3 linked regions of the Ovis aries genome follow. The protein of the gene in region 3 purifies or fractionates together with the protein of the main gene of each other region. This does not show direct contact. Links are inferred from orthologs where the notes say so. Each region holds a gene or a part of one and is shown on either strand. Other genes may lie near its edges.

Evidence for each region.
Region 1: the proteins of SNRNP70 (region 3) and NCBP1 purify together in Homo sapiens (affinity purification with mass spectrometry; 3 studies listed by BioGRID and IntAct, counting the BioPlex papers as one, with this or other methods). This does not show direct contact. The link is inferred for Ovis aries from reciprocal best matches to the Homo sapiens genes SNRNP70 and NCBP1.
Region 2: the proteins of SNRNP70 (region 3) and RNPS1 purify together in Homo sapiens (co-immunoprecipitation; 7 studies listed by BioGRID and IntAct, counting the BioPlex papers as one, with this or other methods). This does not show direct contact. The link is inferred for Ovis aries from reciprocal best matches to the Homo sapiens genes SNRNP70 and RNPS1.

What each region holds. Positions count from the first base shown.
Region 1 is NC_056055.1:49,996,115-49,999,766, forward strand, and holds part of NCBP1 (nuclear cap-binding protein subunit 1), read right to left. Parts: intron 2,443-3,652; coding exon 2,339-2,442; intron 898-2,338; exon of another isoform or gene 205-897; coding exon 82-204; exon of another isoform or gene 1-81. UniProt on the Homo sapiens protein: Component of the cap-binding complex (CBC), which binds cotranscriptionally to the 5'-cap of pre-mRNAs and is involved in various processes such as pre-mRNA splicing, translation regulation, nonsense-mediated mRNA decay, RNA-mediated gene silencing (RNAi) by microRNAs (miRNAs) and mRNA export.
Region 2 is NC_056077.1:2,301,002-2,304,468, forward strand, and holds part of RNPS1 (RNA-binding protein with serine-rich domain 1), read right to left. Parts: 5' UTR 3,459-3,467; coding exon 3,388-3,458; intron 3,147-3,387; coding exon 2,991-3,146; intron 2,384-2,990; coding exon 2,192-2,383; intron 2,005-2,191; coding exon 1,902-2,004; intron 1,617-1,901; coding exon 1,463-1,616; intron 1-1,462. UniProt on the Homo sapiens protein: Part of pre- and post-splicing multiprotein mRNP complexes. Auxiliary component of the splicing-dependent multiprotein exon junction complex (EJC) deposited at splice junction on mRNAs.
Region 3 is NC_056067.1:55,357,363-55,359,980, reverse strand, and holds the end of SNRNP70 (U1 small nuclear ribonucleoprotein 70 kDa), read right to left. Parts: intron 1,532-2,618; coding exon 1,444-1,531; intron 1,365-1,443; coding exon 704-1,364; 3' UTR 546-703; downstream 1-545. UniProt on the Homo sapiens protein: Component of the spliceosomal U1 snRNP, which is essential for recognition of the pre-mRNA 5' splice-site and the subsequent assembly of the spliceosome. SNRNP70 binds to the loop I region of U1-snRNA.

The sequences.
Region 1 (3,652 bases), on a different chromosome or scaffold from region 3:
AAATACACTGTATGAGAATTATGTTTCTACTTAAACCTGGCCCATATATAGTTCCATTCAACAAATATTTAATTCCCTTACCATCATCATCATCCTGATTAGGATTAGGGACGTCTTTGAGAATGCTGAAGATTTCATCATTGGTTGCTTTACTTTTAAAGGCAACAGCTAAACAGAGGGCAACTGAATGTCCGGGAAGAGAGTCTAAGCACAGAATGCAAAGAGTTAAATAACTGAAAAACTTTTTAAAAATTACTTTAACAACAGAGTACTCTCTATCCTAAGGTCAATATTTATTCTATATAAAGATAATCACATATGAAAGTTTCATTCAATATGTCAATGGCTTTTCACCTAAAATAAGGCATAATAGGTTTCTTGTCTCAACACTTCCTTAAGAACATGGAGATAATTGAAATTCAGAGTGTGAGGCAAGTATGGATCTTCCTCAGGAAACACAGCTGCAACTCTCCTTTGATGGTCTCAAATCCCTAGGCCTCTAAGCTGAAAGGCTGAGAATCAATGTATTTCTCTTTCATTTTGGTCAATGATCCTCCTTTTCCCTAATACAGTGGAAACTAATTTTGGGTTTGAACAAGGTGCAGGCTGCCAACTTAAGACAGACTCTTTGCTTTTCTCTTTTGCTGAATCCACGTTCGTGAATCTACATAAGCCAGATGCTTGTGTGCTGTGACTCCACATGGTTACTGTTGGTTAGTATCTGTCAGGTCCTTACTGTATACAATCTGTGCTAATACATGTTGTACAGCATCACCAGAGCAACTGGAAATCTACTTTTAATGTAAGGTAGACAAAGAGGTAGCAAAAAAGGCAATTCTGACACAGAATATGAGTTACTAAGCATTTGTAATGAATAAAGTCAGTTCCAACAATTCACATGTGCTCTGTACTTTTCTTGAAAGTGGGAGAGAAAGGGAAGAAAAATCCTCCGCCATCGACAAGTCTACACTCTAGATAAGGAACCAAGATACTCACATAAAAAGTAGCCAGAGAGTAGCACGAAACTGGCTTGCTAAAGGTTAAGAAAATATTTACAAGAGTGGAGCTTGGGCTAGATCCTGAAGAGAGAACAGGAATCAGAGAATAGAAAGGGATAATGGTACAAACAAAGGTAAAACCAAGAATGAGAAGCATGGAAAAAACAAAGTGGGCTTGGCTGGAGTGGAAATGACAAACCGTCAAGTAGAAACAACAGTTTAGGTGGGCCTTAAACGCTAGGCTGGAGGCTGAGTTATTTCTGTGGGGAAAAAAGAAAGCTCAGTGTTCAACAGAAGTCTGAACTCTTTGATATCAAAGACTGTATCTTATGGTTCTCTGAGCCAGTACAAAGCAGAAATCAAAATGTGGCACTTCTAAGTACCACATCAAGCTCTGCTTTTTGCAGAAAACACAGTGATCAAGAACAAGGCTGCTCAGTATTTAAGTCTGGGCTTTACCTCTTTGAAGCCATTCCCTCACTGTAAAACTGGTGTTAGAAACATACCTATTTCTCAAGAGTTGTTTTAAGGAATAAGTGACACAGTAACATAGGAAATGGAATATGCAGCCCTGGAACCGGGTTTTGTTTCAAGGAAAACAGGTGTGGTCTGAAGTGCAGGTGGAGAAGCAGGGGTGCAATGTGAGAAAGCAAGCGAGAGGAATGAGTTTTAAGATACAAAGAACTGCTACACAACATGAAGTGGAAGGCTCACAGAGGAGCTGAGCACAGTGCCGCGGAAAAAGACTAACGGGAACTCCACACCTGCCTCTACCACTGCTCACCGGTGCACAGCCTTCCCCTCCACTAAGCGTAACGCACAATATGGCATATCAAATTAAACAGTCCCTTTGATTTACAGTGCAAATCTCAGAAGTGGCATGACCAAAAAGAAAGAAAGTATGTTTAAGAATTTACTTCTAGACTAGAGGCACACTGCAGGTAAAACATAGCCTCTGTGTGCACCTACGTTCCCACGCCTGTACTGTGAGCAGATGATAAATCGATTCATGTAATCAGAATTGCCATGACAAACACATACTTTCATTTTAGTAAGTTCTGGCTATAAATTCATCTTGCTATACTTAACACCACTTAAAATCTCATGAATCATTATAAACAATATTAAAAACAGTTACAAGACAGTAATAACTAAGGAAATCACAGTAAATGTTTAAAATTATTGACAGGGCAAATAAAACAACAGAGGCTGGTGAGAAATCACCTTTCAAACAGAGAAAATATAAACCCAAGAAGAGAAATAATTCACTTTCTCCACCTTAGATAATTGACTTAATATTTGCATTAGTACCTTTGAAAAACAGAGGATTCATTACTTACTGCTACTTTCATCTCCATACTTGTAAATGCAGGTTGGGTTTGCAGGACATAGAGCTGAGAAGGTAGGAGGGACAAAATCTAATATACGCTGATGGTAAGACAACCTACAATATAAATAAAAGCCTCAGAAAATACCATTCATCAGTTTCATTCTTTGGTAATACCCCACTTTACTCAGAAGATCAACACCCTGCACTCAGCTGACAACCAAGAAGTAAAGGGGCAACAAGTCGTTTTAACTCCTGTCTGGGCCAGCACAACAGAACTCACGTCTTCTTCAGAACTTTCTGGTTTGTACTGAGATGTGGGCCAGTGGGTCCACAAGCCTGGTGGCCAAGGATGTGAGGTGGTGATGGTAGGGTGGGATGAGGTGAAGGAAACAGTTTGTATGGTTGGGAGATTGGTTATATTGTAATAAATACTTATCAAGACAGTGGGAGACAAGTTTCTTAATGTCTGCCAAGGTATTTAGAAATCATGGCAAAGGGGAAGGCTAGGAAGAAAAATGATATGTTGGGTTGGAACTGGAAAGATACACACATCTAGGTGGATATAAAAACAGATTTATGTATGTATGGGTATATGTGTGCATGAAGATATTCACTATGCTTGTCCATCTAGAGGGCGGAAAACCAGTAACACCCAATAGCAATGAACACATCAAGTGTCCAGACCTTGCTACTTAAATACCATGCTCCACTAAAAGAAACTCCGCCTCTTTGAATGAATAGATGATTCCAGGAAGGGGGCAAGGAAACATAAGAAGAGCCCAGAACATTTGTGCCAGAAATAAGGAAATGCTCAATGAATGGAGGGAGAACATTAAAGAAAGGAAAAAAAGACACAGAAGGCACAAAGGACTCCCAGTGGACAAATCAGGGGCAATTTAAGCATCAAATTAGTAATGACAGTAATGAATTATAATCCACTGAATGAAATAGTCTCTACTGATATACAAACATAGGAATTAATAAACAGGTAAAAAAGGAAAGCTCTTTCTTACAGTAGAAAGCAAACTAATAAATGTAGAAAGAATAACAGAAAAAGGGAATCATCACCTGAGGATCATCATAGTGGTGGCAAATAAAAGTACGAGTTGCAGTGGAGATATGATGTAAGACGGGAGTGTTACCTCAGGATATTTCCCACAAAATATTAATCAACTACAAAGGGAAAAATGGGGAGTTTCAGGTTGAGAAGCCTGACGTGGCCATATAATTAAGATTAACATCTTTAGTGGTGGATAATGCGAGACTTGAGTCATGAGGATGCACCAAGGCGACACAACAAAGTAAGGCCCGCATTCTTTAAAAC
Region 2 (3,467 bases), on a different chromosome or scaffold from region 3:
CCTGCTTTGCAGAGAGACGCTTTACCATCTGAGCCACCAGGGAGGCCCAGGCCAAAAGCTATTCCTGGTTAAGGTACTGCATGGGCACTGACTATGTAACAACAAAGAAAAAAAAAGGGAAAAAAAGGAGAAAGGTCATCCTCTACCTGCTGCTGCTAAATCGCTTCAGTCATGTCTGACTCTGTGCGACCCCACAGACGGCAGCCCACCAGGCTCCCCCACCCCTGGGATTCCCCAGGCAAGAACACTAGAGTGGGTTGCCATTTCCTTCTCCAATGCATGAAAGTGAAAAGTGAAAGTGAAGTTGCTCAGTCGTGACCCCATGGATTGCAGCCCACCAGCCTCCTCTGTCCATGGGATTTTCCAGGCAAGAGTACTGGAGTAGGATGCCATTGTCTTCTCTCATCCTCTAGCTACCTGCCAGTAAAAACCAAGCCCTTCCATTTCTTTCTGGAGACTGATCGGTTCCATTCCGCACAATACAAAGAGACAGAGAAAAAGTCCTACCAGAATCTTAAGACAAGGTGGAATATTTATCATCACACACATCCTGAATGTGTCTAAGCCTCCTAAATTTTTAGCAAGTGCTCAGACTCCATCAAACACAAGACTGACAATCTCTAAAACAAAGGCGTGACTCAATAAGAGTTGATGCCTGCACAGTGACAGATCCCAGTTTATGCTGAACTCCTAAAAATACTCCAGGGGGATTTAAGGAGATTGAGAGAAGTACCAAGGAAAATTTTGTACTATACAAACTCTACCAGGGTTCAAGGGCAATTATCTTTCAAACATGTAAAAGGGCCTCCAAGGATGCCAAGGTTCTCAGGGGTTCAGACTCTTCCCCCCACTCGGCCTGGCAGCCCACGTGGGGCTCGGGCACTCCTGGCTCAGCTCAGCTGCCTGGAGGACAGAAGCAGCAAGGGTCCAGCGAAACCTATACTCCTTAAAATGCTGCCTATTCGAGATGCAAAACAACTGGCAAATGTTCAGTCCTTCAAAGGGTGTCAAAGCCAATACAAAGTGGCTGTAAACGTCATCAACAGTTAGGATGCATTTTAGGAAGAGGTAAAATCTGTGGATTTAGAAAGTTATCTTAAAAATGCTAAGTTTTAGCAAAACAGAAAGTAACTCAGGATTAAAGAAAACATTCCCATATAAAAATGTTTCATTATAGTCAAATACTTTGTGAAGAAAAAAAAAATCGTTCATTTGATCCTTAAGTTTTAACAGATTGAAATATTCTTAAAATGCTAATATATTCATATTTGATGAATACTTTTTCAAGAATAATGCTCTGTAAAACATGGTTTTGGTAAAGACACACCCACTGAGTAAGAACTGGAATCTTGACAGAGCTCCAAGGAAATTCTCACATGCAGCCAGACTGGAAATCGGTTCTCATCACACCAGGTATGGTGGGCAGCTGGTCTGGGACAGGTCAGAGCAAGGCTGGACTTACCTCCGTCCATGTGCTTCAGCGCCTTCTCAGCCTCGTCTGGATTCTCAAACTCCACATAGGCGTAGCCTTTAGACAAATGGGGGTGCATCCTTTCTACAGGCATGTCAATCATTTTAATTTTCCCATAGGTAGAGAATATCTCCATGATGTGATCCTAGGGAGGAAGAAGGGTCACTTAGGCTCACCCTCCCTTCACTTGTGTAGAAGTCAGAGAACTCGCCACACAATGACCACACCCTCAGCACCCTAAGCACACACACAAAATATATTCTGTTAAAAGGAAGTAACCAGTGCTCTACTTGGTCACATGCCACCAACTCAGCCCCCAGAAATGCTGCATTCTACGTTTACCTTCTGGCAGAGGCGGGCTTCTCATTTTCCATTTTAAACATCTGCAAGAATCACCCCAATGTCCACTGGACAGAAGCAGATTCCTCACCTTGGTCACATTCCTGGTGAGCCGCCCAATGTGTACTTTGGTGGGTTTAGGGGAAGGGCTCCGCCTTTTCCTTTCCTTTTCATCTCTTTTGGGTGGTTTGGACCTAATTGAAAAATACAAAATCCTATTAAGACAGTGAAACTCCTTTTTTGGTCTACTTTGGTAATAACTAATGGTAATCTTATAGCCCCAGTCTGTAAACTTAGATCCCAGATAACTCATGAGTCTTGGAGGTAATCCCCTGAACTGACCAGTCCCCCGTGGAGAAGAGGGGCTGGAAGGGGGCTCACTTGGAGCGGGAACGCCGCCTGTTGTCGTGTCTGCGCCGAGAAGGGCTCGGGGAGCCGGAGGAGCTGCTGGAGCTGGAGCTGCGCGACGTGCTGGAACTTCCCGAGCGGCTCGAAGCCGAAGACGAGCTGGAGCCGCTGCTGGAGCCCGTGCTGGTGCTGGAGCCTGAGCTGGAGGTAGAGCTGGACCGGGACCTGAGGGCCGAGAGGGAGGGGTCACCGGTAGAAGCAGTGCTGCCTCACTGCAGACAAGTCAAGGGGAACCACTGGGCTCGTATTCTCAAGCCTCAAGGCTTTCCCCAGCACCCACGGACACCCTCCAGCCCCATCCTAACAAAGCCCTTGCAGGGACAGAAACAGCATATGTACCATGCAGTGACAGGACTGCTTCCTACCTACACAGAAGCCTTGCCTACTGGGAGGAAAAGGAGCAGTCTGGGAAATCAGAGCCCCCGGCTCAGCTTGGAAGGCAGCTACTGACTGACACAGGCTGGTTTTCAACAAAAGGAAAAGGAAAGAGCCAGGCTAGGATGATCCAACCACAACTCCAAATCAAAAGCACGCGAGAAAAAAGCATAACTCAAGATGTTGCATTCCTAATGCCTCCAAAAAAGAAAACAACCAAACATACCAACACCGTCCTCTGTATGATCAGAGCAAAGCCCAAACCAGTCTGCCATAAATTAGTAATCTGAGTGCTTTATCAATAAAAAGAAAGAACACTCTGCAGGCTCTTTGGGAAAGAAGAGGGCCATGGCCTTGGAAGTAAGGCCCTGGCAAGGCCCTGACCTGCCAGCCCCACCTGGTGCTGCTGCTCCCGCTGGAAGCACTGCGCCTCTTCCGAGTCTTATCCCTGCCACGATCCTTCTCGCTCGACTCCTTGGTGGCCCCTTTATCTTTAGAGCGGTCCTTGGACTTCTCATCAGAGCGGTCTTTGCGTTTGGTGGGAGAAGGCGCCCTGGACAGTGAGGGAGAGTGTGAGATGACATGCCCCTTGGGCTGAACCCTGAAACCACAGCACAACCCAAAAGGGGATGCAAAGGGCTACAGAAACCCCAGGCCACCACAGAGCAAAAGGGTCTGTGGCTTAGGACACTTTCACTGTAAAATTCAAGATATTTCCAATGTCCCCCTTTCTGCGGGTCCCTAACAACGAGCACCCCGAAAGTAGCACTAGAAAAATCTGACAGAAGGATTACCTAGTGCTGGACTTTTTATTATTTTCTTTGACTCCTAGCAAGCTCTTCTTTTTCACTCCTGATAAATCCATTCTCCCCTT
Region 3 (2,618 bases):
CTCATTGCAGTGGTTTCTTATTGTGGCACCTGGGCTTAGCAGCTCCTTGGCATGTGGGATATTCCCACACCAGGGGTCAAACCCATGTCCCCTGCATTGGCAGGCAGATTCTTAACCACGGGACCACCAGGGAAGCCCTAATCCATCTTATTTTTGTATATGGCCATTAAGAAAATGTTTTTTTCTTTTACATGTAGCTGCTGTCCAGTTGTCCCAATACCACTTATAGGCAAGCCTGTCTCTTCTCTTTACCTGTTTATCTCGCTCTCACGCTTCGTGAAAACACGGCCCAGAGCCCCATCCCCACACTAAGATAGGAGTATGAACAGCTCCACAAGAAATGTGTGGGAGCACCGAAAAAAAGCAAGGCATCAAGGACCCTTAAGGAGGTCTTCCTTACTCTCAACAGCTTGGCTATCCGGGACTAGCCCTAGCCTTTAGTTCATACAGCTCCTGTCCTGGAACACCAGAGTGGGGCCATCTAAGTCAGAAGGTGACACCCTCCTGGGGAAGACAGTAAGAGCAGTGAAGAAACCAAGCGCCCATTATCAACAAGAAATTTTATTTTTAAATCCAAGAGACCAAAACAAATAAGGAGACTCCTACCCTTGGCTGGCAGATTCAGGTGGTGACCAGGAAGGTGGGGGAGAGGATGACAGCAGGGGGAGTAGGAACACGTCCAAGCGGCCGGCGAGCGGCCTCTTCACTCCGGCGCAGCCTCCATCAAATACCCGTTCTCCGGAGCGAGATACCCGTCGCCTCCCTCGGACTCCATGTACATGTCTCGGCCGTCGTTGCCCAGACCCTCGAGCCCGTTGTCCTGGCCGCCGCCACCCCCACCTCGGGCCTCATCCCTGCCCCGATCGCCGCCCCGCTCCCCCCGCTTGTGCTCCCGGTCCCGGTCGCGATCGCGGTCCCGGCGCCGCTCCCGCTCGCTGCGGTGGCTTCGACGTCGGTCCCGGTCACGATCCCGGCCCTTCTCCTCTGGGCCATCCGGGCCGTCCGGACCCAGCTCCCCGGGGGGCCCATCATCCGGGGGCGCGTCGCCGGCCTCGGAGGGCTCGGCCATGTCGCCGCCGCCGCCTCCGCCTCCGCCTCCGCGCAGCTCCTCCTTGCGCTCCCGCTCCCGCCGCGCCCGCTCCCGGCTCCGGCTGCTGCGCCGCTTGCGGTCCCGGTCCTTGTCCTTGCTCCGCTCCCTGGAGCGCCGCCGCTCCTCCTTGTCGCGACTCCGAGAGCGCCGCCGCCGGTCCCGAGAGCGGGAGCGTCGTCGTTCCCGCTCCTTGTCTCTCTCGCGGCTTCGCTCCCGGCGCTCCCGCTCGCGGTCCCGGTCCCGGTCCCTGTGGGGCAGCGGGGAGGGGCCGGGCCTGGATGAGGTGGGCAGAGGTTTGCGGCAGGGCTCCCCCACTCACCGCCCCGCTCCCAGGACACCCGGCCCGGCCTCACCTCTCATCGTAGCGGGAGGTGTCGTCCCGGCCTGAGTGCCGGATGTTGACGTCCGCCCCGCCTCTCCGGGTGCCGCCCAGGCCGCCTCCTGGGGAGGGGCAGACACAGGCGGGTCAGAGCGGGTGGGGACCCCGAGACGGCGGGCAGTGCAGAGATCAGAAGGTCACAGCGCCAGCTGGACGCGCCCTCATAGGGCTCCGGGCTCACCTCCCCCACCGGGGAGGCCCCAGCCCCTGACAGACCCTCTCCTCCGGTCATTCCCGCCCGAGACACAGCCCCGATCCTTCTAACTGAAGCCTGACCCGCCTCAAAGCCGGCAGTGGCTGCCCACCGCCCAAGCCAAGGTCAGAGGCCGGCCTCCTCCCTGTCTTTCAGCCCAAGGGCCCCTGGCTCTAAAGGTTCCAGGCATTTTCCAACCTCTTCATGGTCTCCATGTCCTTCCTGCCCAGTGTTGGGGATCATTCACCCGTTCCCCTGGAGTCTCACCTTCCTTTCTACTTAACTCCCACTTACCCTCCGCACCTTAACCCACACCTCACTTCCTCACTCCGCCTGCCCTGACCTACCAGCTGAGGCCCTTCTCCACTCACAGACCACACACTGGCTTCAGAACTTCAGTGGAGTTTCCGATTTCACGTGTGTGTCTCAGGTGGAGTTTCCAATTTCGTCTATGTGTGTGTACACGCACGTTCAAGAGAGAGCTGATTAACAGCTGCCTCCCTCTCTAGCCTGTACTGCGCCTTCCATCAGGACGCTGGACCAGCAGCCACGATAAAAAGCTGGACGAGCAAATGGCGACAAGGACAACTGGAAGCAGCAGCAGTTACCCTCCTCCTTCACGTGGGAAACAAACGCAGGCTGAAAAGCCACCTGCCCAGGGTGACTCGGCAAGAAAGGGCAGAGCAGAGACGTGATTCCCCGCTAACTCCAGAAGCTGCCCTCTCACTCAGTCTTCTGCCCCCACTGCCTGGAAGGGAGTTTCCTGAAGCTATTTAAGGAATAGCTTTCAGCAATGAGGGTCAAAAGCTTGGACATGGACATGAAACATCCGAACAGAGGACAAGCCACCCAGCAAGGATGCGGAGAAACAGACCAGTGCTTTCCATGTTCAGATCACAACCCAGCAGTGGAGTCACATCACTAAATCTGACAGGATGCAACCAACCATTTCTTTA